Linked DNA regions of Rattus norvegicus. The protein of the gene in region 5 purifies or fractionates together with the protein of the main gene of each other region. This does not show direct contact. Links are inferred from orthologs where the notes say so. Each region holds a gene or a part of one and is shown on either strand. Other genes may lie near its edges.

What was found.
Region 1: the proteins of H2ax (region 5) and Usp48 purify together in Homo sapiens (affinity purification with mass spectrometry; 3 studies listed by BioGRID). This does not show direct contact. The link is inferred for Rattus norvegicus from reciprocal best matches to the Homo sapiens genes H2AX and USP48.
Region 2: the proteins of H2ax (region 5) and Hnrnpr purify together in Homo sapiens (affinity purification with mass spectrometry; 3 studies listed by BioGRID and IntAct, with this or other methods). This does not show direct contact. The link is inferred for Rattus norvegicus from reciprocal best matches to the Homo sapiens genes H2AX and HNRNPR.
Region 3: the proteins of H2ax (region 5) and Xpc purify together in Homo sapiens (affinity purification with mass spectrometry; 3 studies listed by BioGRID and IntAct, counting the BioPlex papers as one, with this or other methods). This does not show direct contact. The link is inferred for Rattus norvegicus from reciprocal best matches to the Homo sapiens genes H2AX and XPC.
Region 4: the proteins of H2ax (region 5) and Atm purify together in Homo sapiens (affinity purification with western blotting; 11 studies listed by BioGRID and IntAct, with this or other methods). This does not show direct contact. The link is inferred for Rattus norvegicus from reciprocal best matches to the Homo sapiens genes H2AX and ATM.
Region 6: the proteins of H2ax (region 5) and Lmna purify together in Homo sapiens (affinity purification with mass spectrometry; 3 studies listed by BioGRID and IntAct, with this or other methods). This does not show direct contact. The link is inferred for Rattus norvegicus from reciprocal best matches to the Homo sapiens genes H2AX and LMNA.
Region 7: the proteins of H2ax (region 5) and Kat5 purify together in Homo sapiens (affinity purification with western blotting; 3 studies listed by BioGRID and IntAct, with this or other methods). This does not show direct contact. The link is inferred for Rattus norvegicus from reciprocal best matches to the Homo sapiens genes H2AX and KAT5.

What each region holds. Positions count from the first base shown.
Region 1 is NC_086023.1:155,090,538-155,094,037, reverse strand, and holds part of Usp48 (ubiquitin carboxyl-terminal hydrolase 48), read right to left. Parts: intron 354-3,500; coding exon 233-353; intron 1-232.
Region 2 is NC_086023.1:153,850,519-153,854,018, reverse strand, and holds part of Hnrnpr (heterogeneous nuclear ribonucleoprotein R), read right to left. Parts: intron 334-3,500; coding exon 184-333; intron 1-183. UniProt on the Homo sapiens protein: Component of ribonucleosomes, which are complexes of at least 20 other different heterogeneous nuclear ribonucleoproteins (hnRNP). hnRNP play an important role in processing of precursor mRNA in the nucleus.
Region 3 is NC_086022.1:125,568,085-125,571,584, forward strand, and holds part of Xpc (DNA repair protein complementing XP-C cells), read right to left. Parts: intron 2,695-3,500; coding exon 2,588-2,694; intron 996-2,587; coding exon 875-995; intron 1-874. UniProt on the Homo sapiens protein: Involved in global genome nucleotide excision repair (GG-NER) by acting as damage sensing and DNA-binding factor component of the XPC complex. Has only a low DNA repair activity by itself which is stimulated by RAD23B and RAD23A.
Region 4 is NC_086026.1:62,752,130-62,755,629, forward strand, and holds part of Atm (serine-protein kinase ATM), read right to left. Parts: intron 3,479-3,500; coding exon 3,390-3,478; intron 3,299-3,389; coding exon 3,196-3,298; intron 2,525-3,195; coding exon 2,376-2,524; intron 908-2,375; coding exon 803-907; intron 1-802.
Region 5 is NC_086026.1:53,567,479-53,570,572, reverse strand, and holds H2ax (H2A.X variant histone), read right to left. Parts: upstream 1,856-3,094; 5' UTR 1,788-1,855; coding exon 1,356-1,787; 3' UTR 501-1,355; downstream 1-500. UniProt on the Homo sapiens protein: Variant histone H2A which replaces conventional H2A in a subset of nucleosomes. Nucleosomes wrap and compact DNA into chromatin, limiting DNA accessibility to the cellular machineries which require DNA as a template.
Region 6 is NC_086020.1:176,255,436-176,259,646, forward strand, and holds the start of Lmna (prelamin-A/C), read right to left. Parts: upstream 2,801-4,211; 5' UTR 2,598-2,800; coding exon 2,242-2,597; intron 1-2,241.
Region 7 is NC_086019.1:212,326,992-212,329,393, forward strand, and holds part of Kat5 (histone acetyltransferase KAT5), read right to left. Parts: intron 1,927-2,402; coding exon of another isoform or gene 1,810-1,926; exon of another isoform or gene 1,048-1,809; intron 1,042-1,047; coding exon 901-1,041; intron 828-900; coding exon 734-827; intron 1-733. UniProt on the Homo sapiens protein: Catalytic subunit of the NuA4 histone acetyltransferase complex, a multiprotein complex involved in transcriptional activation of select genes principally by acetylation of nucleosomal histones H2A and H4.

The DNA.
Region 1 (3,500 bases), on a different chromosome or scaffold from region 5:
AGCAGAAATTCAAATGCATGTGGCCACGTGTCTCCTGTCCTGACACCTACACAGGTCACCGAGATCACTGACAGCTGTGGTGATTCACTCTTCTTTTTTTAAAAGGGGAGGGAGTTGTAGGGATGGCATGCAGCCCCACCCCACTGCGGTGCATGTGCAGTGAACAGGTTTCTGATCAAAGGTACTGAACAACAACCAGAGTAACCAAGTCCTGCCAACTGCAGTCACTCACCTTTTTCCTCCTCTCACAGTTGGGGTCATCAATGTTATGAAAACTATTCTCATCTATTTCTCCTAACCAAATGTGCTCGCCAATCCCAACTAAGCAATTCGGATTTCCTCTGCAGTTTCTTCTACAAAGAGAAAAAAAGGAAGAATCACAGTTAAAAATACTTCCAGGAATGAAGAGGAAGGGGACTGAGCTGTTAAGTTTGTTTACACTCCCAACCCCCACCCCTTAGGACAGGGTCTCTGTGTAGCTCTGGCTGTCCTGGAACTCACTCTGTAGACCAGGCTGGCCTTGAACTGGAGATCCTGCCTGCCTCTGCCTCTGGAATGCTGGGATTAAAGGTGTGCACCACCAATGCCTGCCTAAGATTAGCTTTTTTTTTTTTTCTTTTTCTTTTTCCCTTGGAGCTGGGGACCGAACCCAGGGCCTTGCGCTCTACCACTGAGCTAAATCCCCAACCCCTAAGATTAGCTTTTTAAATATGATAAACATGGTGTGAGAAATGGAGAGCCATGGAGGAGTTGGTGGTGTTACAGTGCTACACTACTGTAAATTTAAAAAAAATGATTTGAGTACACTGTAGCTGTCTTCAGACACACCAGAAGAGGGCATCAGATCTCATTACAGATGGTTGTGAGCCACCATGTGGTTGCTGGGAATTGAACTCAGACTGAAGACTTTGGAAGAGCAGTCAGTGCTCTTAACCACTGAGCCATCTCTCCAGCCCCTAATAGTTGAGTCTTAAAAAGGATTACTATATGTTCAGATGAAGTCAGAAAATAAAGTCGCTCATCTGTGTTAAAAGAAAGAGAAAACAGAAAACCCAGAGTCTAAAGGCACTACTGACCTGCACACTGTGAATCAGAAGACTGTGGGTTAATGGGTGTGTGTGAAGCTGCTCTCTGAGTACTGAGTCCCTGGGTTATTGAGGTGGGTTTGGTGTTACCAGCTTCTCACCACACAAACAGGAACCCAGCAACCAACAGAAGCAGAACATATTTCAGCTGAATAAAACACTCATAGTTGGGGGATGGGGTAAGGCCAAGCCACTTGAACACCATCATTAATCAGAGCACTCATTTAGTAGTACCCCCAAAATAAAGCCAAAGGAACAAGAACCAAGCTCATTAACAAATCCTGATTTCTAAATATTCTCCACTCAAGTCTCAGGCTTCTGAGGGAAATTGGTAAGATGAACCTACAGTGAAGACAATTAACAGGAGACAGGGATCCCACAAGGGGACGGGCATAGCACCTACTGACCAAGTCTAGCAACAAAAGGGTACAACGCCCAAACAGGGGTGTGGTGGCGCTCAATCATAATCAGCACCTGGAAGGCTGAGACCAGAGGATGGCAATGACCTGGTCAGCCGGGGCTACAAGGAAGACACCATCTCAAAAACAAAGAGGAAGCCACAGAAGCTCACAAGTGTAATTCTAGCATTCAGAAGCCAGAGGTAAGAGGAAGTTGAAGGCCAGCTTGGGCTACACACTAAGCTTCCAGGGCTAAACACTGAAATCCTATCTCTAAAGAGTCCACTGATTTTATAGTGAGACAAAGGGACAGATGGAGGAAAGTCACTTCTTAATAGGGGGGGAAAACCAGCTATGGAGAGGAGGAACCCAAACCAAACTCTAATGAAACAATCAAGTTGTATCACAGAAAACAACAGATCTACCTGACAGCCAATTAATTGCTCACCAGGGAGGGCCCTTGGTTACAGCTTCATTTCTAAAGTGTTCTGGCCAAAAGCACGAAACCTATGCCCATGAGCAAACACCCAGCAACCCCAAACTCAGAAACATCCCACAAAGAGTCAATGTCATGCACACAAGCCCAGATTAAAAGAGACTAGAGCCATGAAGGTAATAGAACCTTGGCTTCTCCTTTCCTGTTCAAACACATTAAGGTGTGTGTGCATATTTGAGGTTACCCGAGGCTGTACTGACAGTGGAAGGCTGGAACATGGGGCCAGAGATGAGATGGTTCAGAGAGGATTAGGGCACTTGCTCCCAAGCCTGAGAACTTGCTGTTGTAGCCCTGGCTAGCTGGCCTGGGACTTGTGGCGATCTACCTGCCTCTACTTCCTGAACACTGGGAGTGCAGTGCACACTATTCCCATCTGCTTTGGGAATTATTTTCTTTCTGGAGGGAAGGAACACACATACCCCTCACCCACCTACCCACGAGGCTGGGCATGTGTCACACATGCATGAGGAGGTCAAGAAAACAATATCCCTTCCACCACATGGATTCCAGAAATGGAACTGGGACTGGTCACCAGGTTTGGAAGCAACTGGTTTTACCTTCCAAACCACCCTGGTAGTTCTATTCTCTCTACAGTGAACATTTCATCTTTATGAAACAAGTAACTTTCCAGGTCCTATAAATGCGCGCTGTCTTCCAGGGACAAGCCCCCTCCCCTTTAACACATGTACAGATATCCACATTAAGTAGACTCAACGGGCTGTATTTATGTGTGTGTATGCATGTGGAGGTGAGAGAGATCGAGAATGAAAGTGAGTGAGGGGGGAGGGGTACACGTGTAAAACACTGATAAAAAGACGGGGCTGGAGAGATGGCTCAACAGTTAACACTAGCTGCTCTCCTAGGTCCTGACCCAACAACTACATGGTCGCTTTTGATGATCTGTAACCAGTTCTGACGCCCTCTTCTGATGTGCAGGTGTACATGCAGATAGAGCACTCATAAAGTCTTAAAAAAAGAAAAAAAGAAAAAAGAAGTCAAGAAGTTGAGAGGGAGTGGCAGGAACATGGGAGGAGCTGGAGAGGAAAACCTGGGATGAAAATTGTATAAACAGCACTTGAGTGTGAAATTCTCAAATGAATGAATGAAGCCTGGGGTGGCAGTGCACACCTTTAATCCAGCACTCAGAAAGAGGAAGGCCAATCTCTGAGTCCTAGGCCAGCCAGGATGACACAGTGAGACCTTGTCTCAAATGAATGTCATGTGATATGGCTGGGCAGACAGTCGCAGGGGTCTTTCAGAAAGCAGTTCTGGTAGACAGCTTAGCACTTGTCTCCTGCTGCTGTTTGTAGGCATCCCCATCTTTCTCCATCCTCCACAACACAGGAAGTCATGCTCACTCAGTGGCTCCAAAGCTAGCTTCAAAGAGTGGAGGCAAACAGTCTGCGGTCTACAAACGTTCACAGCTGACTAAGAGGTGTGGGTAATTTGCACTGTTTGGCCTTTGTAATTCTGGCCTTGTCCTCCTTCCCCCAGAGACATGGGTCTCATTGTACAGCCCTG
Region 2 (3,500 bases), on a different chromosome or scaffold from region 5:
TACCTGCAGCTCTAGGGAATCCAGTGCCCTCTTCTGAACATCACTGGGCACCTGCATGCTCAGTGTGTGCACAACAGACCCTCACATAGATATACACATGTATTCATAATTTTACAATCTCAAATAGTTACTTTATGTGTCTACCAAGTTTGAAACAAACAGCAAAGAATACAAAGTTCCTACCTTAACAGCAGCTCCTCTGTCTTCAAAATGAACAAATGCATAATCTTTCAACTTCTTCACTCTCTCCAGTTTTCCAAATTCAGAGAATGACTTTTCTAGTATTTCTTCTGTCACTGTAGTAGCCAGGTTTCTCACAAATAAAACTTTTACCTAATAGCAAAAACACAAAATTGCTACTCTTAAGTTTTAGCTCAAATCTTAAAATACTACTTCTTGTCTTCAAAAAGTTGGCTTTTCTTCTCTAAAGCAGCAAGTCTAAAAATGTAGTCTGAGAAACATGCAATGATGAAAAGATTCTCACATCAGTCACCACTTTTCTATAGCTTTTAAAAAAAATAACCAAGTTATATAAACTATTGGCTCTTGCCTCTGTCTGTCCCAACAGAACAGCTACCACTGAACAGAACCTATCAGACAGGCACCAACATAAAAGTATCATTAATTCACAAATTTATCATGGCTCCAAAGGACCCCCCCCCCAAAACGAGTTTATCTGTTTTTACCCCTAAAACTGTGGATAGTTATGTAAAAACTATACAAGAAAAGATTTACTTGGGCTGGGAAGAAGGGCAGAAAGAAAAAAATGACAGAAACAAACTACAATGCTTAAATCATTTAGTCAGAGTGACATCAATGAAGAAAGAAGTTGGCCCATTTTCTACACTATACACCAAGATAAAGTACAAACAGATCAAAAGCGTAAAAAAGTAATGTGGGGCTGTATGTTACAGGAAAAACAAGGGTGATTTGTTTATAAAGGGTTGGTTGGTATGAGAGAAGGAGAAATGATAACAGTTATAATCTTAAAAAAAATTAAAATTTTAAAATTCGTAAATACAAATAAAGCATAGATGTGAAACAGCTCATAACTTAAAACCCAGAGTGCGAATGAAGGAATGGCACTACCTAACGAGAGCGGTGGCGTACGGCAAAACTAGCATAAACAAAGTCAGAAGGCAAGTGACAAATATGGAGAAAAAAAAAATAGCAACTTACACCAGAGAAGCATCAGAAAAATAAGAAAAAATAGGCAAAACTCATGACTACATGATTCATAAATAAATACATGTAAAGCCCTATAATTAAACACTCAACCATAAACTTAGTAATAGAAACAAACTATTAACAGCAGTGAGCAAAATACATATACTATCTCGTCAAGTATAAGGCACACCATATATAAAAAGCACGGGACTATCTTAATAACTGCATTTACCCTTTGACTACAAGTCTCTCCTAAGTGTCTGTCTACAACATAATTGCCCTGTATCAGCACACATGGTACACACTTACTTACTATACTTAGAACAGAAGATCAGAAATAACTCAATACATATATAGAGCTGAGGTTACTGTGGAGGTCAAAAACTAAGAGGAGCTGAGTTGATAGAGAGCCAGGATCAATGGGTGCTAAGAGAACACTCTTTCCAATGCTCTACATCTCTGAAGAAGAGATACAATACAGTCAACAGGTAAGTTACCAGCATGCCAATTTAACTGGCAGCATTGTGTGACTTTTCAGTGTTATAAACAATACTAAATTATCTTCCGAGAGCTGACCAAACAGAATGGTGAATAAAGGAAACACAGATAAATAAACACAAAAGGCTACCTATAGTCACTCAGAATCAAAGAATTACTTTTATTTGCCTGTACTTGTCTAAGACAACACTAAAACTGGGTACCTTACAGGAGTCGTGGCAGACATGATGGCAGGGGTAGACAGTGGAATTGTGTATACGTTTCTGTGTAATTTTTAAATCCTTGAATTAAGAAACTATTCAAGGAAAAATCAGCATACCCACTAAACATTAAACTATTGTCTCAGATAAAAAGCTTAAGATTCAGAAAGATTTGAGCCCAAGCACAGTAGCATACACCTTAGTCCTAGCACTTCTTTTGGGGAAAGTGGGGGAGCATGATGCTGAGAAAGGTAGGTGAATTTGTGAGTTTGAGGCTAGCGTGATCTACATAATGAGTTCCTATAGAACTAGGGCCACACAGAGAAACCGTGTCTCAAAAACAAAACAACACAAAAATGAGGAGGAAGAAGAGGAGGAGAAGGAAGAGGAAGAACAGGCTATCAGATGAGCCCTAGCCTCTTGACAGGCTTCTACTAGTTTGTTCACCTTTGAACAGAAAAGGAACTTCCTGGACTGAAGTGTAACTACCTCAGTGTTGAATGTTTCCTCACATATATGAGGTCACGTGAATGAGGCTGGCAGTGTGATCCACAGCACCAAAACAAGATACAAACAAGCTTGGAACTAATGTTCAACAGCGTTCTAGCGTTATGTCTCATTTGTAGAGCACAGCCTAAGCACTGCTATGTCTTGTGTTTGAACTCCAGGACTGCAAAATATAATTTAAATATTCACAAAAAGAGCATTTAGGGGCTGGAGAATGGCTCAGCGGTTAAGAGCACCGACTGCTCTTCCAGAGGTCCTGAGTTCAATTCCCAGCAACCACATGGTGGCTCACAACCACCTGTAATGAGATCAGATGCCCTCTTCTGGTGTGTCTGAAGACAGCTACAGTGTACTCATATACAATAAATAAATAAATCTTTTTTTTTTTCTTTTTTTCAGAGCTGGGGACCGAACCCAGGGCCTTGCATTTGCTAGGCAAGCGCTCTACCACTGAGCTAAATCCCCAACCCCCATAAATAAATAAATCTTAAAGAAAAAAGAATTACATAGGTTTCAGGTTCCCGTTGACTGTAAAACTGATCTAAGGTGTAACGCTGAGTACCAAGAAGAACCTTTCTAACAGACATGCTTTTATAAGAGAACAATTAATGTATCAACTTTATTCAATTCCCAAGTTTACAGAGGCCTCCTTGCCACTCTAAAATCTTGGTTTCATGGATTTTTGGGAGGGTTTCCTTTGTTTAAGACAATATCTGAGGGGGGCTGGAGAGATGGTTCAGAGGTTAAGAGCACTGACTGCTCTTCCAGAGGTCCTGAGTTCAATTCCCAGCAACCACATGGTGGCTCACAACCATCTGTAATGAGATCCGATGCCCTCTTCTGGTGTGTCTGAAGACCGTGACAGTGTCCTCATACATAAAATAAATACATTTAAAAAAAAAAAAGACAATATCTGAAAACCAGCTATGTAGCTAACAACAGCCTTAAACTTCTAATCTGACCGTCCTTACCTCCCAAGTACTATATCACCATGCCAAGTTTTATTTGGTCCTCAATGTGAGGCCCAGGGCTTCTTGTATGGTGAGCAAGAGTTCTATCAATTTAAACATTTTTAGCCAGAAAACAACAGTCACAAGATTAAAATCTTCCCAATTTCTGTCAGGTGTA
Region 3 (3,500 bases), on a different chromosome or scaffold from region 5:
TGTCTAAGATCAACTGACCAGTCACTGATCAACTGATCACTGTCCACACGGCTGTCTTTTGACCCAGTCTGGTCCATCCCTGAAGCCATGATGGATGCAGCACTGCTCATCTGCAAACCTGTTCACAGGTCTCTGTGCAGCCCCTGGATGCAACAGTTCCCATCTGTAAATCTGCTCTTGGACACGGGTGATACATCTGCCAACCCCTCCCAGAATGCTGTGCCTCACCAGGCCTTAAATTCCCTTCCTTCAGAATCTCAACTACAGACTACCTCCGCAAACCACACTGATGCTAAATTAAATACATTTACATGACAATTCTGCAAAATCTTTTACCCTTGGCCCATCAACCTTCAGGAAAACCTTGGACTTCCTGAACGTCTCCCTCCTCCCTGCCCACTGAAGAGAACCTCATTAGTAAGCTTGTTTGCTCCATTTTCCTAGGCCATCGGGAGGCTACAGTGGAACCAGGCACCCTGGGAAGGTTGGGTGCTCCTTCCACAATGGGTACTATCTCAAGTCCTGTAGGGATATGTGGTAGTGAAAGCGTGAGTGCCACGTCAGCCAATGGGGAGTCAAGTCTCAGCTCCTTCACTCACTGGCTAAGTGGCTCCAGGACTGTCACTGATGCTCTCTGAGCCTGTCATTTCCAATCCTGCTCTAAGGGTCAGGTAGTAAGAGATGAACAAGGTGCCCAGTCCTTGTCATGCACCTCCATCTCCCACCCAGCCAGAACAGCCAGGTGTCTCCTTTCAGTCCTACTGCAAATCTAGGTCCTCCCTGTGGCTCCAGACCACTCTAACATGTGAAGGCTTTCTTGGTGTATCTGCTGCCTATTTTCAGGACAGGAGCACAGACGCAGAGCCCAGCCTACCTTCTTTCCCGTGCCTTCGCCTGCTCTGGTGTTTCAATTTCTATCTCCACTGCCTTCACAGGCAGGTCAGACCGCGAGGTAGCAGAATTTTCTCCCATGTCCAGCACAGGCTCAGTAAGTTCTACCAACAGTAAATTTAAAGGTTAATAACACTAATTGGGGCTGGAGAGATAGCTCAGTGGTTTAGAGCCCTGACTATAGAGGACCTGGGTTCAATTCCAGGCATCCACGTGGTGAATCACAGCTATCTGTAACTCTAGACCCAGAGGATTCAACACCCTCTTCTGGCCTCCATGGGTATCATGGGTACCATGGGTATCTATACTCACGGTACAGACATATATGCAGGTAAAACACTTATACACACAAGTTAAAGTTAACAATAACGATAGTCAATATATGGAACAAAATCGGGGTTCTGCTGGACAGACAAAATCAGGAATAGATAAACACTCCAGATTGTTTATCTGACAAAACCAGATATTCTAAAATGCAAGAGGCCAGAACTTTTCAAAGCAGGCATTGCTGTAAAAAGCCAAAGAGGAAAAGACAATGCCTAGTATGGTGGCACCCATCTGTAATCCCAGCACTCAGCAATGAGACCAGAGGTCTTATGGTCTTGTGTCCCAGGTCAATAAGAGATCTCACCTAAAAAACAAAACAAAACAAAACAAGGCCTGGAGGCTGGCAAGACTGTACACAACCTGAGGAGACCTGACTTTGGGGCTGGATCCCACAAGGTGATAGAAAAGAACTCTTGGGAGTTGTCCTCTGATCAAACACACATCGTGCGCACACACACACACACACACACACACACACACACACACACATAAAACACACACACATTCACACATATACATCCATACAATAGACACACACACACTTTAAAAACAAAACCAAAAAAAAAGCAAGAAACAGGAGTTGTAGCTCTGTGGCAGAGCACCCTCCTAGCATCCCTAAAGCTATAATCCTCTGTACCACAAGTAATTAATAAAGGTAATACACGTGGTGGGAGTTAAATTAAAAGGCATTTACAAACTCAACCACCCCTGGACCTGAATTAGAAAGAAAGAAAGCAAGAGAGCTCTAAAGACTTTTTTTTAATAACTGAGGGTTGTTTTCGTGTTTGGGGTGTGATGAGGCAGCTCTGCCAGATAAGACGTCACTACCTTCTTAGTAAAGGTTTGCTCAAGTATTCAAAAGCCGAGCTTTAGGACTAAACAGAGAAAGAAACACTCAATATAAAGGACTGGGTGTCCAGACTACTCTCTCTCTTGGTAATTTGAACCTTGTCAAAATAAAAGGCTGAGGAAGCATGCCCACAGAAGGAACCATGGATTAGCATTAACTACGGCTCTTTCTCGTGGTGTAGACCTGAGGCATACAGCACTTGCAGACTTCCTCCCCAAATTCTGCAGGCTGACTAGGCACAGCTCAGTTATATGCAATTTGCATAACGCTGCCAGTGAAGAGACCTGCCTCAGGCAAGCAAAGAACTCGCTCTACAGCTATGTGAGGTGGTGCTGGGCTGGAGTTAGGACTACAGGGCTTTTCTAGGTGCACTCTTCCTCCAAACTGCTTCTGTCAAGTGCCTACTACAACTGTATCTCAAGATGGTCTGTTACAAAGAAAAACAAGATTGCAACATGTGACTTGGCTCTGAACAGCAAACAGAGAAGCAAAGTTCAGAAAAGGAGACAGGCACTTCACCTTCCACCTCCTCCCAGTCATCCTCGCTGTCATCTTCATCGGTGCCTTGGTCCACCACCTCTCTTTTGGGATGTTTCTTTGCCTTTCTGCAGTTACTCAATGAGTCCCTGTATAGGGATCAAAGACACAGAAGGCTCACTCACATGTCCTACTGTCACACTCAGGCTGGGCAGAACCTACAGGAGTCCTTCTGTTGACTGTTGCAATCACATCCATGAAATGATGGACAGCTGACTCTCACAAGTCCCAAGATTGAGGTAGGAAGAGCGCCAGTGTAAGGCTGCCCTGGTTACCAAGCAAGACAAACCCAGAACCTATTAACTCACAATCCTTGAGAAAAAGAAAAAAACAAAAAAAATAAAAACGAAGCAAAACAAAAACCTTCCTGTACCTTGAAAAGACGAAGGCAAAATTAAAACAGCCACGTGGTCCTAGGAGTCCGGGAGAACTGAGGTAGCTGGGCACACTAGCAAGTAGCTGGAGGCCAAGGAGAAGGCTCACACCAGGAGAGCTGTGAATCAACTCAGAGTGCTTTTCTCCCGTTAGAAAATGTAGCCCAAGGACACTGAAGTTGGCACACCTCACACGGGGCAAGTAAGGTGTGACCACACAAGAACCTGTAACCGGTCCAGGCTGGGTGGCTGCTCACAGAGGAAACCCCAGCAGATAAACAGCTGGGTACCCAGTGAGATGCAAGGTGAACAGCTGCCAGTGAGCTGATACGGTTCCGTAGACTCATATATAAACCCCAAAACCCCTCTACAGCTCTGGGTTACTTTGGGCCTTGTAAATAAACATTATTATAACTTGGTATTATAACTTGGAAACAGCCAAGATTTTAGCACACATTTCGGACCATCAAAGTCTTGAGCTTTAATAAAGCTCCAAAAACCCTCTGTTTTTGTTTATGTTT
Region 4 (3,500 bases), about 9.2 Mb from region 5:
ACCAAAATGTCCGGATTACATAGGGAAGACCCTCTGGGGAAGGGCAGCCCAGCCCCTAGACTGGAAAGTTCAGGATTGGGGGCAAGGTATACCAGGCAGGGACTGAGGGATGCTGGGAGAACAAGGAGGCCACGTCTGCTTTGATGTGTAAAATATGCACCTCAGTCCCCTGTTCTGGGGTCTAAAACCAAACAATAACCAAACAACATGTATAGGATTTATGATGTCAGTGGCGAGTGTTTAAAATATTCATGTTTGGGGGTAGAGAGATGGCTCAGTGGTTAGGCGCACTGGCTGCTCTTAACCAGGGTTCAATTCCTAGCACCTACATGGCAGCTCACAACTATCTGTAACTTCAGTCCCAAGGGATCACAGACGTATACGTAGGCAAAAACAGCACTGCATATAAAAATAAATAAACCTTAAAAAAAATTCATGTTTGTTTAACTTGTTACAGCTAATTGCTACACCATGTATGCCTCAGAGAAACCAAGCTTACAAAGCAGAGCTATGATGGTAAGAGAGTGAAGGCCATGAAACTAGAAAGGACAAAGGTTAACTCTTCCAGGACACGTGTACAAAAGAGAATACTATCATGCTTTTCCAGAGGGCGCAGACTGAAGAACTGACGTAGGTCCTCAAGAAAATCTTTCTTGAGAGCAAAGAACGACAAAGAAACGCTTGAACTCAGCCACCAAGTCTTATCCCTTCACTGACGCAAATTCTTATTTAAATCTACTCACATTTTGAGGATAGCAGCCACAGCATCAAATATAAAAACAATCTGTCTTTTTTATAATACCTGGCATGTCGGAGACTGTCATAAAATGTGGAGAATTCTCTGTTTCTTAGGCACTGCAGAGCATTATACAACGATTCGTGGTAACTGGTTCCTTCTAGTTCTTGGCTGCGAGATGATTAAAAAACAAATTTAAAAATGGAAAACTCTGAGATATGCATCTATAACTAACTCAAAGAACAATGTTGAGAACTAAAATTAAGATTTCTCATAAAAGTTTGCAGAGATTAAGAAAAATATGTAGCTGGTGCAGCGGCATATGCCTTTAATTGGTAGGCAGAGAGAGGTGGATCTTAGTGAGCTCAAGGCCAGCCACAGTCACATGGTAAAATCCTAACTCAAAATATAAACAAAGGGGGTTGGGGATTTAGCTCAGTGGTAGAGCGCTTGCCTAGGAAGCGCAAGGCCCTGGGTTCGGTCCTCAGCTCCGCAAAAAAGAACCAAAAAAAAAAAATATATATATAAACAAAGAGAAAAAAAACAAACAAGCCAAAGCAGTAAAAGGCAGTGAGAAGAGGAAAGCATTTTACAGGTCATTTAAATTCTTTAAAAAAAAAACCAAAAACTTAGAAATTCTAGTTGGTTCTCAATTTTACATTTAAAATAAATATTTAAAATGAGAGCAGTTGAGTGGTGGTGGCGCGAGCCTTTGGTGCCAGCACTCAGGAGGCAGAAGTAGGATCTTCTGGTCTACAGAGCGAATTCCGGGACAGCCAGGGTTACACAGAGAAACTGTCTCAAAACAAACACAGAAAATTCACCTACATATGAATAAATCCGCTTTTTATACCACTCCTAACATGAAATTTGATAAACACTCCAATTTATGAAAACATTTTTCCATTAAAGTAATTAAAATGACTTAATTTTTTAGCATTCTATCAGACTTTTTTATGTAACTATTAAATCCTTTAGTAGTCTAGGTGTTTTGGTTTTCATTTAAAAAATACAATGATTTGAAATACAGGCTACAACTTTTATCTTCTTGGGTAACTTGGTTTGGCAGTACTTTATAAACTGCCTGGTTATCTGTTTGTGGTAGCCCTGGCTGGCTTAGTACTCACTATGTAGTCATGGCTGGCATCGAACCAGAGATCCACCTGCCTGTGACTCCCAGTGCACCACTGCTCCTGGCCTAGCACTACTTTTTAACAGCAGCAACGACAACCACCACCACAAAACATTAACAAAGGTAACTGATTTTATCACCCAGCCAATAGAAATGCTTTTGACTACAATGTAGCAAGAAGTGGTAGGGAGAAGGCCTACACTTGTCTTTAGATTCCTCAATTCAACAATCAATATTTTCACAGGAAAAGGCATTTTTAAAAATTTCTATCTACAAAACACTTGAAGCAGGGGATAGAATTTCTCTGGTGGAAAAAAATAAGAATGAAATTCAACCTTCATTGTGCTAGCTGCCTATTGTATACTAAATATTTAGTCATATGTGCGGCCCATAGTGTCTGTACAATATATTAAAAAACAAAAGCCAGCAGCACTCATAGAGAAAACAACCAAATGCACAGTTTCAGGGTCAGATAGAAGCAGTGGGGAGAGGCTGGTTTGCTCTCACTTGGCAGAAGTGCAGAGGTCCCACTGCATGTTCCTCCACGCCGCCTGGTAATGAAGCTCCTGCAGTTCCCCACACCACTCTCTCCTTTCATGGTCCAATCCTTTCAAGTAGATAGAAAGAATATGGGAGAGCCCCAAGTTCTGCAAGGCCTGAAAGGAAGTTATCACAAAATGAATACATGATCAAATACGTCAGGATAGAGTAGACCAGTGGTCTCAGCCTTTCCTAATCCTGAGACCCTTTAGTACAATTCTTAATGCTATGGTGACCCCGAACCATAAAGTCATTTTCACTGCTACTTCATAACTGCAATTTTGCTGCTGTTATGAATCGTAATTTAAATATCTTGCATGTGACTTCTGTGAAAAGGTCAGCCAGCCCACAAAGGGGGTCGCGACCACAGGTTGAGAACCATTGAACTAGCGAGAAACCCAGCCCCCACCCCCAAATTTTAATTTCAAAAATTTTAATTAACAGTATCACTTAAAACTCTAAAATATTGCTTAGCGTGTATATTTCTCCTCAGAGAATGTTAATGTTTGGTGGAAAGATACCTAAGCCTATTATAGTAAAAGATAGGACAGTTTCCTGGACCAACTCTAAAGCAAACTAGTGCCATGTGAAGCACTACGAGTGTCTCCTGGCAGGCATACTGTACACACTCCAGAAGTGTCTTCTGCTGTTGGGTAATAAAAGTATTATCAACAAACTACAGTGACCTGTGCAGCTTTCCAATGTGTACTGAGGTGCTGGCCTAATGTCTGACAGCCTAACTCCACTGACGACAGCTTTACGGAAGCAGGCACGGATGGCAGTGTACCTGGATGATTCCCGACTGGCGGGTGGAGGAGGAGATGGTGGTCTCAAGGTCGTATGTCACTAAGGCTTTCTCCCACGTTGCTTCATGCTCGTACGTCCTTATTCTGTAAGAGATGACGGTGAAAACATCTTTTGTTTCTGTGCGCATGGAGCTCCTTCGAAAGGCAGAATCACTATCTGAAAGGTGCAACTTACCGGGTAAGGGGTTGTAACACTTTCCCTCCCCCGCAGCCATACAGGCTGTCTGGCTCTCCTATACTTCTGTAGATCTCCAAGAGAAGATCCTGAAAAGAAAAATACCAAAGG
Region 5 (3,094 bases):
CAGAGTTGTTGAGACTTCGGCCTTGGAAGATATGCCTCAACTTGGGGCCTCCATGACTGCCTTTCCCTCAGTAGTTTGTGGGCTTCATCTCTTTAGAGAAAGTCCATGCCAATCTTTTAATGTAACCAATGCCACTAATCAGTTCAGAATGTGGTTCTCCTGGAGTTGGGGGAAGATATGAATAAACCCAAAGCCCTTTTAAACCTGAATTCTGAGTCTGGGACCTTTCTGTTGTAAAACATCCTGATCATTCTCAACCAAGCAAAGAAACTAGCCTTCATCCCTACAGCCTGCCTGTCTTTAGTTAACAGGATCTTCACATAGCCTTTCATTCCCAGTGCCTGCAGAAAGGAAGGTAAGTTTATCCTCTAGTCCCACTCCCTCCCACGAGATGTTCTGGGCACATGGCTCCTCGACTATGGAGCTGTAAATGTCCAGCCCTGGGACTACAGCATTCAAAGTTAAGTTAGGCATTCAAAATTAAATCAGACACTCCGTTTAAAAAAAAAAAACAAACCAAAAACGATCCTTTAATAAAATTAGCCCATTGAATCTCCCCACTTCTTAAGGTTCTAAACTTGTAATAGCTGCAAAAGTTCCAGTTCAGAAGCCAGAGGCTCAGTCCAGACAGGGATTCACCGACTTGTGCTGGTATCTGGGTGTTTGGGTTGTAGTTTGAGTTAAGGGAGAGGGATAGCTAGGCCCGGCTCCTCTAGTCTTCTGCGGCAGGTATACAATTCTTCTGTCCACAGGCCAATAGGCGTTCCCTGACCCTTTCCAGTTTATCTTGGAAAAATTGGCTTCACGTTATAACATGCCGGCCTACAAATGACGACAGGGTCAACTGGTTTGAGAGGCCAGTAAGGGGGACACAGAGTGAAACAGTATGATCCGCTTCTCACCAAAGTCCGGCAATCAACTCACTTCTGAAAGGTCCAGGAGAGGGCTAAGCACCAAGCTGAAAACGCTGGGGTTGTAGCTGCGGGGGGGGGGGGTGGTGGTGGTGGTTAACTAACCTTCAAGCCCACCTCGGCCGTACGTCATAGCAAAGGGCCGAGATTTCTGGAAGGTGGAAGGTGCCGCAACCTCTCCGCACAGCCCGTCGACGACTGAGAACGGCGAAGCGATGTCACGAGCTCCGGGATGGGTAGGTGCCCCGGCGCCCGCGTCCTGTGGCAGACCCGGAGGCCGCACAGGGAAGGGTAAAGACGCGAGGACTGAGAGGAGAGAATGGGATGGGGACGCGGCGGGCCGGAGCCCGAAGTGGCTCAGCTCTTTCTGTGAGGGAGGTGGTGGCCCTTAAAAGGGCCTTTGTGGAGGTGGGGGAGGGCTGGGCAGCCGCGGCGCGGGCTCCCTCAGTACTCCTGAGAGGCCTGGGAGGCCTTCTTGCCGCCCGCCGGCGCCTTGGGCCCCACGGTGGCGCTGGTCTTCTTGGGCAGCAGCACGGCCTGGATGTTGGGCAGGACGCCGCCCTGCGCGATAGTCACGCCGCCCAGCAGCTTGTTGAGCTCCTCGTCGTTGCGGATAGCCAGCTGCAGGTGGCGCGGGATAATGCGCGTCTTCTTGTTGTCCCGAGCCGCGTTGCCCGCCAGCTCCAGGATCTCGGCAGTGAGGTACTCGAGCACCGCCGCCAGGTACACGGGCGCGCCTGCGCCCACGCGCTCGGCGTAATGGCCTTTCCGCAGCAGTCGGTGCACGCGGCCTACCGGGAACTGAAGGCCGGCGCGCGAAGAGCGCGACTTGGCTTTGGCGCGGGCCTTGCCGCCGGTCTTGCCGCGACCCGACATCGTGTGCGAGGTAGAAGGGCTGAGAAAAACGCCAGGAGACAAACCGCCAACCGCCGCAGTCAACTGTCGCCTCGCGCGGGCAAGCTCGCCCTTATAAACTCTCTGGACACGCCCCCGCTTCCGCCTAATTGGTTCTTTTTTTAATACCCACCTCTGGTTGGTTGCAATTAACCCTTCGGTGACGCGCCATAGCCGAGAGAACGCGCTCAGCGATTGGTCCAATTTGAAAACCTTTTACCCGGGGAAGAAGACAAGGCGGAGTGGCTGCAAGCCAGAGGCGAATCACCCTTGGAAATGGCCAATCAGTATAGAGCGCGCGAAATTTAAACGCTACGGCGCGCCCACAAACCCGAAGACTAGAAGGGTGGAGCTTGGAGCTACCTCTATGGTTTCTGGGAAATCTGAGCCGGCCTGTGGTTTTAAAGGAAAAGGGTCTTCACTGTAAGCACCTTTCTCCTTCCAGGTTAGGGCACTTCCTACTCCCTCCTCTAATCTGGCAAAGGGAAGGGTTTATTTATTTGCTTGTTCTTTATTATTATTTTTGGGTTTTCGAGACAGGGTTTTTCTGTGTAACTCTGGATGTCCTGGATCTCTCTGTAGACCAGGCTGGCTGCGAATTCTGAGATCTGCCTGCCTCAGCTTCCCAAGCGCTGGGATTAAAGGCGTGCACCACCACCATCTGGCTTTTATTTTAATGAGACAGGGTTTCTCTGATTAGCCCTTGGTGCCCCGGAACTCAGAGATCCGCCTGCCTCTGCCTCCCTTGTGCTGGGATTAAAGGCTTGGCTGAAAAGGGAGGGTTTAAAATGAAAGAAATGAAACCTTCTGAGAGTTTAATCCTGTGCCAGAAAACGGAGCACCGTTATCCATTATGCTATCACAAGTTTGTGCTGTAATATTTATTTGATATGTTCTGTCTGGTCTCAGTATGTGACAGACCTCTCTTACAAGAAAGGGTCTGAGGGGAGCAGGGGTAGGGATCCTATTGGAAAAGGTACCCACTCTAATCCTTTCAATCTATTCTAAAATGCCTATATAAAAAAATAAATATGTCGAGCTTGGGATATAGTTCAGTGGTAGAGCATTTAAGTATAAGGATGCCCTAGGGTTCAATAAGAACCTCAAAGGTTAAAAAGAAAGGAGGAAGGAGTGGCTACACCTAGAGGAACAAGTAAAAGGCAATCCTTTATTGTCACCATTCTGAGCACATGGCCCTGCCTCTGCTCTTCCTAATCAGAACACTTAATTTGATAGTCAGATGTGAGGTTACCTTGGAGTATGTTGCCCTAACTCTAGCCCTAGCCCAG
Region 6 (4,211 bases), on a different chromosome or scaffold from region 5:
GTCTGAGTCATCCATGCAGCTGTCTAGCTTGGACTTGAGCTTACCCATAAGCCTGGGGTGAGCCTTCCCTCACTTCCAACTGTCCCCTTCTCCCAGCTTAGATATCTAAACCTCTGGAGGAGAGGGAGGAAGAGGGAAGGAGAGAGTTGTTTTGTTCCCCCTCTCCCCTGCCTCCTCCTTGGAACTTACAACCCAGTTTGAAGAGCCTTGTGGGTGCAGTTGAGAGATCCAAGTTGAACTGTGCTAAAGATTGTCACCGGTCTCATAGTTATGCCTAACTCCAAGCCTGACCCTGAACTCTGAGCTGGAATTAAACATTAAATTGGTCACTTTTCCCCACCCCCAGCCCTGGTGGGAGGGCCCGGACAATGCCTTTCATCCTCCCCAAACTTCACTCAGGCCATTTCTCCACCTCAGTCTGAGCTCACCAGCCATACAAAGGGCAGAGCCATGAGTCTTCTGCAATGGACATAGAAGGACAGACATCCATCTAAGCTCACTTCGCCTCCACTTCACCCCACCAGCAAGGACCTAGGTGTGTATACTCACCCCAACCCCCTTCCTGGAAGCCCAGCCTCCTCGGGTAGGCTCAGTTGAGAATAGAGGCAGGTGGCTAAATATAAAAAGTCCACACATCGCCCGGCCCCTACCCCATGTGTGTACACACCACCTGGTGTCCCAGGCCTGGACAGCTGCACTGGGGGCAGAAGACACAGAGTGGCTCAGCTAGATGAACAAAAGCTCTATCTTCCACTCCCCCTGTCCCCAGATCTACTAGACAAGTTCTGCACCAGGATCTGCAAGAGCTTTGGTGGTTGACTTAAACTAGTTTAACTATAGCTTAACTAACTAGTTAACTCACTGGGACTCCTCTAACTTGCCTCATGTATTTCTTGATAAGGTATTCATATCCCTAATAGAGAAAAGACAGGTAATTCCTATTAGCTGAGAGAAAGGCTGGACCCATCTGTGCACATGACCTCCGCTCATACTTGAGAAAATGAGCTTGCCACCACCTATGGCTGGGATCTGGTAAGGAACAGAATGACCAACCACTGATAGTCAGTGGGCTCTGTCAGAAGATAATGCAAAAGGAAAAAGAGGAAGAGAAGTCTAAGCTACCAGAGCCTTAGGTATCTGCACGCATGGCCAACGCTCTTTGGCTTGGTCTACAGCATAGAAGAAAAGATCCCAGACACAGAGCCTGTGGGAGTCCCGGGAGCCAGGGCCCACACTCCCAGGCTTTGGAAAGTCCTTTTAGAAAGAAGGTGGAGTCGAGTAGGGTGGGGCAGGGTGGGGCAGGGATGGGTGAGGTGGGAGTGGCCTGAAGCTCTCTAACGGCTGGATTTCAAAAATGTCATTGTATTCCAGCAGTTTAATAAGATCAAGACATCAACAGCTTGGAGGATGGGCCAGAGTAAAGTCTGGCTTGGCTAGGAAACCGGAAGTGGCTTATTGGCTGAGGGAGGAAAGGACAGAGCTTCCAAACCTTTAAGTCACCAAACAGAGAGGGCCAGGGTTGGGGAGCCCCAGACCCAGGCATAACAGATTTTCCAGGGCCATTAGCTTCTGTGCCCAGTTTCCCTCCCCACACTCTCTTGCATTCCTAGTCGAGGCAGGCCAAGGGCTGTGGGATCTGCGGGGGAGCTTCCTCCTGTGCTTCTGGAGGGCAGAGTCTAGGAAAGGTCCCAGACATTCCCAGCTCCTAGAACCAGGAGAAGGCCTTGCGTACACAGCCATGGGAGAAAGGGGCTACGCAGCCTTGGTGACCCCTCTACAATACCACCGGACAAATGTCTGTGTGAGAGATATGTTTTAGTGGACATCATGTGTTCAGAGTCACGTTGGGCAAAATTGGCAGAGTGCCAAATCCACCAAGAAAGTTCTAATAAAACCCTTTCACCCATTCTGCTGTGTTCCGGGCCTCATTCGGGAGTTCCAAGACCTGGTAAAGCCTGTTCTGCCTTCCTCCAGCCCATCCCCCAGGCTCCAAATGGCTATAAGATCCCACCTTGACAGAGTGAGGCCCTGTAACCAAGGCTACTTGGTCTCCATGCCCCACCATTCTTTATATCCCCCCACCCTCTCACAGAGACCCTCTCCCTGCTGTGTCCTGTCATGACTATTACCCTTGGCACTGCCAGTCACCCGCGGGAGGCAGTTCCGGGGAGGGAGGGGACTAGATGGCCAGTTATGGAAGACTGCTGCTTCCCTGGTGCTGGCCGGCCAGGCCTCACTCACCGCGCCTTCAGCTCCTTGAACTCCTCACGCACTTTGCTCAGCTCCAACTGGAGGCGGGCGCGCTCCTTGGCCACAGAGTCGAGGGTCTTGCGGGCATCCCCCAGCTCGGCCTCGTAGGCCGCCTTGATGCCGGACACCTCTCGGCTGACCACCTCTTCAGACTCAGTGATGCGAAGGCGCAGCCCCGCGTTCTCCGTCTCCAGGGAGCGCACGCGATCGATGTACACGGCCAGACGGTCATTGAGCTCCTGCAGGTCCTCCTTCTCCTGCAGCCGTGTGATCCGAGTGGGCGACAGCGGGGTAGAGCTGGCCTGCGCCCCACTGCGGGTGGCGCGCCGCTGAGACGGGGTCTCCATGGCCGGCAGGGTGGCAGTGCTGCCCGCTGGGCAGGGGTCCCGAGAAGGGCGCGGGACTCGGACAGAAGGACAGAGGCTGCTCGGGGGACAGCGAGCCGGCGAAGCTCGCTCCTGGCAGGCGTGGAGATCTGGGCTGGGCGCTGGCGCACCTCGGGATCTGGGTTGGCTGGTGTTGAGGCTGAGGCAGCGTTCCCGCGAACACTGAGTCACTGACAGCCGGGCAGAGACTCTAATAGGCCCTCCTCCACAGGGGGTGGATCCACTGCTCTTAAAGGAGCCATCCTAGACCCAAAGGGGCGGAGGCAGGTATGGTGAGGAGGAGCCAGCATGCTAACCCTCAGTCTGCAGAACACCCCTTTCTGGCCTGGGGCTTCACAATGTTGGTTCCTGCCTACTCAACTCCAAGCTTTGGCCTTCTGGGGTAAAGGGCAGAGTAAAGGAATGAGAGTGGGTGGGCGAAGGGTAGTGGCGAGGGACCAGGGGAAGTAGGTGCAAAGTGAGGGAGAGAGCTAGGCATCCCCAGGGAGCCAAGGAAGCTGGGGGAGGGCTGAGGCTGCTGCCCATCAGTGACTCACCCACTTCCACCACTGGCTCCCCTTTCCTCAGTAGTAACAGTGAGTCACCTCTCCCCCACGCACAGGAGCGGCCTATCCAGGGCTGCATTTCAGTATGCCAGGAGTGGGATGGCAAAGGAACGTCTGGGTTTTTAGGTAACTAACATATTACTTTATGCCCTCAAGTTTGGGGCAAAGATCAAGGGCCTTTTTTTTTTTTTTTTTAAACCTATGCACTTCCCTTATATTTCTGGCTTTAAAACCAAACATTGGGTTTTAGATCTAAGGAATAAGCCTCAGTCCCCAAGAGAAAGCCAAGAATAGAAGCCAGAAGCTGGCCCCTCCCAATCCCCCCTCCCCTTTCATTTGGACCCAGACAGTTGGAAATGGCTGTTATAATCCCTCCCTTTCAGCCCCTTTCTTCAGTTTACTCCACCCAGCCAAGTCCAAGACTGTACTTATTTTTTTCCAGGACTGTACTTATTTTAATGGATAATTTAAAACAGATACCAGAGCTGTGCGTGCATTCAACACATGGCTAGGACACCAGGTTCCAGATTTTTGTGACTGCAAGAAGGGCCTGAAAAGAGGAATGGGGTCGGAGGGTTATTAATGCAGGGTCTCCATCTGGGTTCCATTCCTAACAGTGGGAGCACGAAGAGCAAAGCCACCCCTCCTCAGCCACTGCATGCCTTTCTAGCCAGTTATGAGTGGGCCCTGACTAGACTATCTCCCAATACAGTAACCCTGGTCCCAGGTTCTTCAGCCTCCATCAAAGACTCTTGGTCAGCTGTCTAGTCCTCTCCTGTAACCCTAGCCTAAGCTGCACTGGCCCCATCATCCCCTCCTGCAATGGAGCCTTCCCTGCTCATTCCATGGAGCACTCAGGGCACCGATTAACCTGCCAGTTCCAGAACTGGACAGGTTCTAGGTCGTGGGCTTGAGTTGGGACTCTAGGAGATTTTGTTGTTGCCATTTTGCTTTTTCAAGACGGAGTTTCTCTACGTACCCCTGGAACGCCTTTTGTAGACCAGGCCAGCCTTGAACTCAGAGATCTGCC
Region 7 (2,402 bases), on a different chromosome or scaffold from region 5:
CGACTCTGAACAAGTTAGACACCTGTGTTTTCACCAGCAGAAAAGCGAAAGCTTCTTCCCTGACTCCTGAGCCAGAGAACAGTTCAATGAACAGAACAGGACTGGGTGGACTAACAGCAGGAAACGATGAGACTGCAGAGTTAAGAGTCTGTGTCCTCAAAAAGGAAAAAAAAAAAAAAAAGCCTTAAGGTTGGGGATTTAGCTCAGCGGTAGAGCGCTTGCCTAGCGAGCGCAAGGCCCTGGGTTCGGTCCCCAGCTCTGGAAAAAAAAAAGAAAAAAGAAAAAAAAAAAAAAAAGAGTCCGTGTCCTCAAAAGGGGCCAGAGCCCGCTTGGGTTTTAAAAGACTAGCCTTACAAAGAAGCAGGACAGGAGTCTGTCTTTTAGTGGCCGTATACCTTTTTGAACCTACTGCCTGCAAGGCTCGCTTAGGGCATGCCTAGTAACAGAACCACTGGTCCTTGACCAGACTTTTTAGGTTGCTCAGAGCTCCAGATGAGAACACACGATTCCAATTTGGGAAAAATTTGGTGGCTTGTAGGCCTTTAGCCAAAGAGAAGTAGATGCTGGGAACTTATTCCAGGAAACAGGGCAGTCAACTGAGGAAAGGCCTTGGTGGAGTATCCCTTTATTTCTGGCAGCTCTCCTGGTGACTGGTTTGTCTGCGTGCAAAGGAACACCCACATAGGCCTGGCCTGCCAGCCTACCAGACACCGGATCAGGCAGCCATACTCACTGAACTCAATAAGCAGCTTTCCATAGCCCCGGCGCTGATAAGGTGGCAGAGTCAAGATGCAGGCCACATTGTAATCTTCTGTGGACTCCTTTTCCTGGAAAAAGTAGGTGGGTTAAAGAAGGCCAGGCTCAGGGCAGGGCTGAGGGACAGCCTTTGTGAGTGCTGACCTTGGAGAAGTAGCCCACGATGTGGAAGCCCTTGCAGTCATACTCCGTCATTACATAGAAAAGGAAGGGGTCTGTGTCATAGTACAATGTCTTGTGGTCGAGGAAACACTTGGCCAGAAGACACAGGTTTTGTGAGTAACTCTATAAAGGAAAAGACCTCACAGTCAATACTCTGGGATACTGTTTTTAAACAGTTAATTTACTATGCCACATGTGCCTGTACACAACATGCACACGCATGGGAGTCCATTCCCCTTCCACCATAGGTTCTACAGAGTAAACTCGGGTGGCCAGGCTTGTGTGACAAGCCCTTCCATGCACTGAGCCATCTCAAGGGCTCTGAGGAGCACTTCTTCCTGCTGTTCCAGTTGAGAGGGTTGAACTTCCCGCCCAGGACCCTGGCCCATCCCACCAGTCAGATTAGCACCACTGCTTAGAAGCACTACTTAAGTGACCAGGAGCCTACAAACTAACGTCCAACTGCCTGCCCTGCCCCTGGTGAGCTGTAGAGCTTCCACATCCCCAGCAAAGCCTGCCCTGGGCCTGCATTGTCCTCTTTTCCACTTAAAGTTTCCAAGCCAGGAATGCCTGTAACCTCCACTCTTAGGAGGCAGAGGGAAATACAAGTTTGAAGTCAGTCAGCTAGGGATACATAGTGAGTTATTAAGTTTCCAAATGGACTAGTCATCAGGAGAGACATTCTACCCATGTGGCTGTAGGTGTCAGAACCTGAACGCTCTAGCTGGTGACCCTTCCTGGGAACTGGTCTGCAATTCTGTGGAGGTTTAAGGAACTGCCAGCCTTAGGGATTTTTCCCTACAACTCTGGACTGGTTGTCTTATCACATGTGACTTCTAGAAGAATTTCAGACAGCTTTGCAACTGCTGGTCATCTACTTGAACACCACACTTAATATACAACAATGTGAAACTTTGTACTTTCCTCTTGAAGAAGTAGCTCCTCTTCAAGGTGAGCTCCCAAACCAATCCAGAAATCTGCCTCTCTCTCCATCCATACCCTGGAGGCCTTAAAAAGTGTGTATTTCAAGGACCTCCATACTTGTCACTTAAAGAAACCCTAACCTGTTCCTCCCCACTGATCTTGTTCCTGACACCTGACCTTTGACCTTGCCTCACCACCTCTCCCTTTCTTTTTACTTTTTGCATGCACTGTCCTGGTACATTGGTGGCTGCATCTCTGAACCCAACTGCTTACAACTGTTTAAATATGTTCTCTTTGCTATGTCCAGGCTCACAGGTTAACCTGCAAACTGTTTCAAAACAGATCTGACTCTAGCCCTGGCTGGCCTACAACTCCCCATAGACCAGTAGAGACCTGCCTGCCTCTGCTTCCGGAGTGCTAGGAATAAAGGATGTACCAGCACACCCAACCAAAGATCCTTTTTAACTCAGCTTTAGAAAGGATCCTACTGTGTAGTTCAGACTGGCTCTGAATGTCAGCTCCTAGCATCAGCTTCCGGGATGCTGGGCCACACTGTTCTT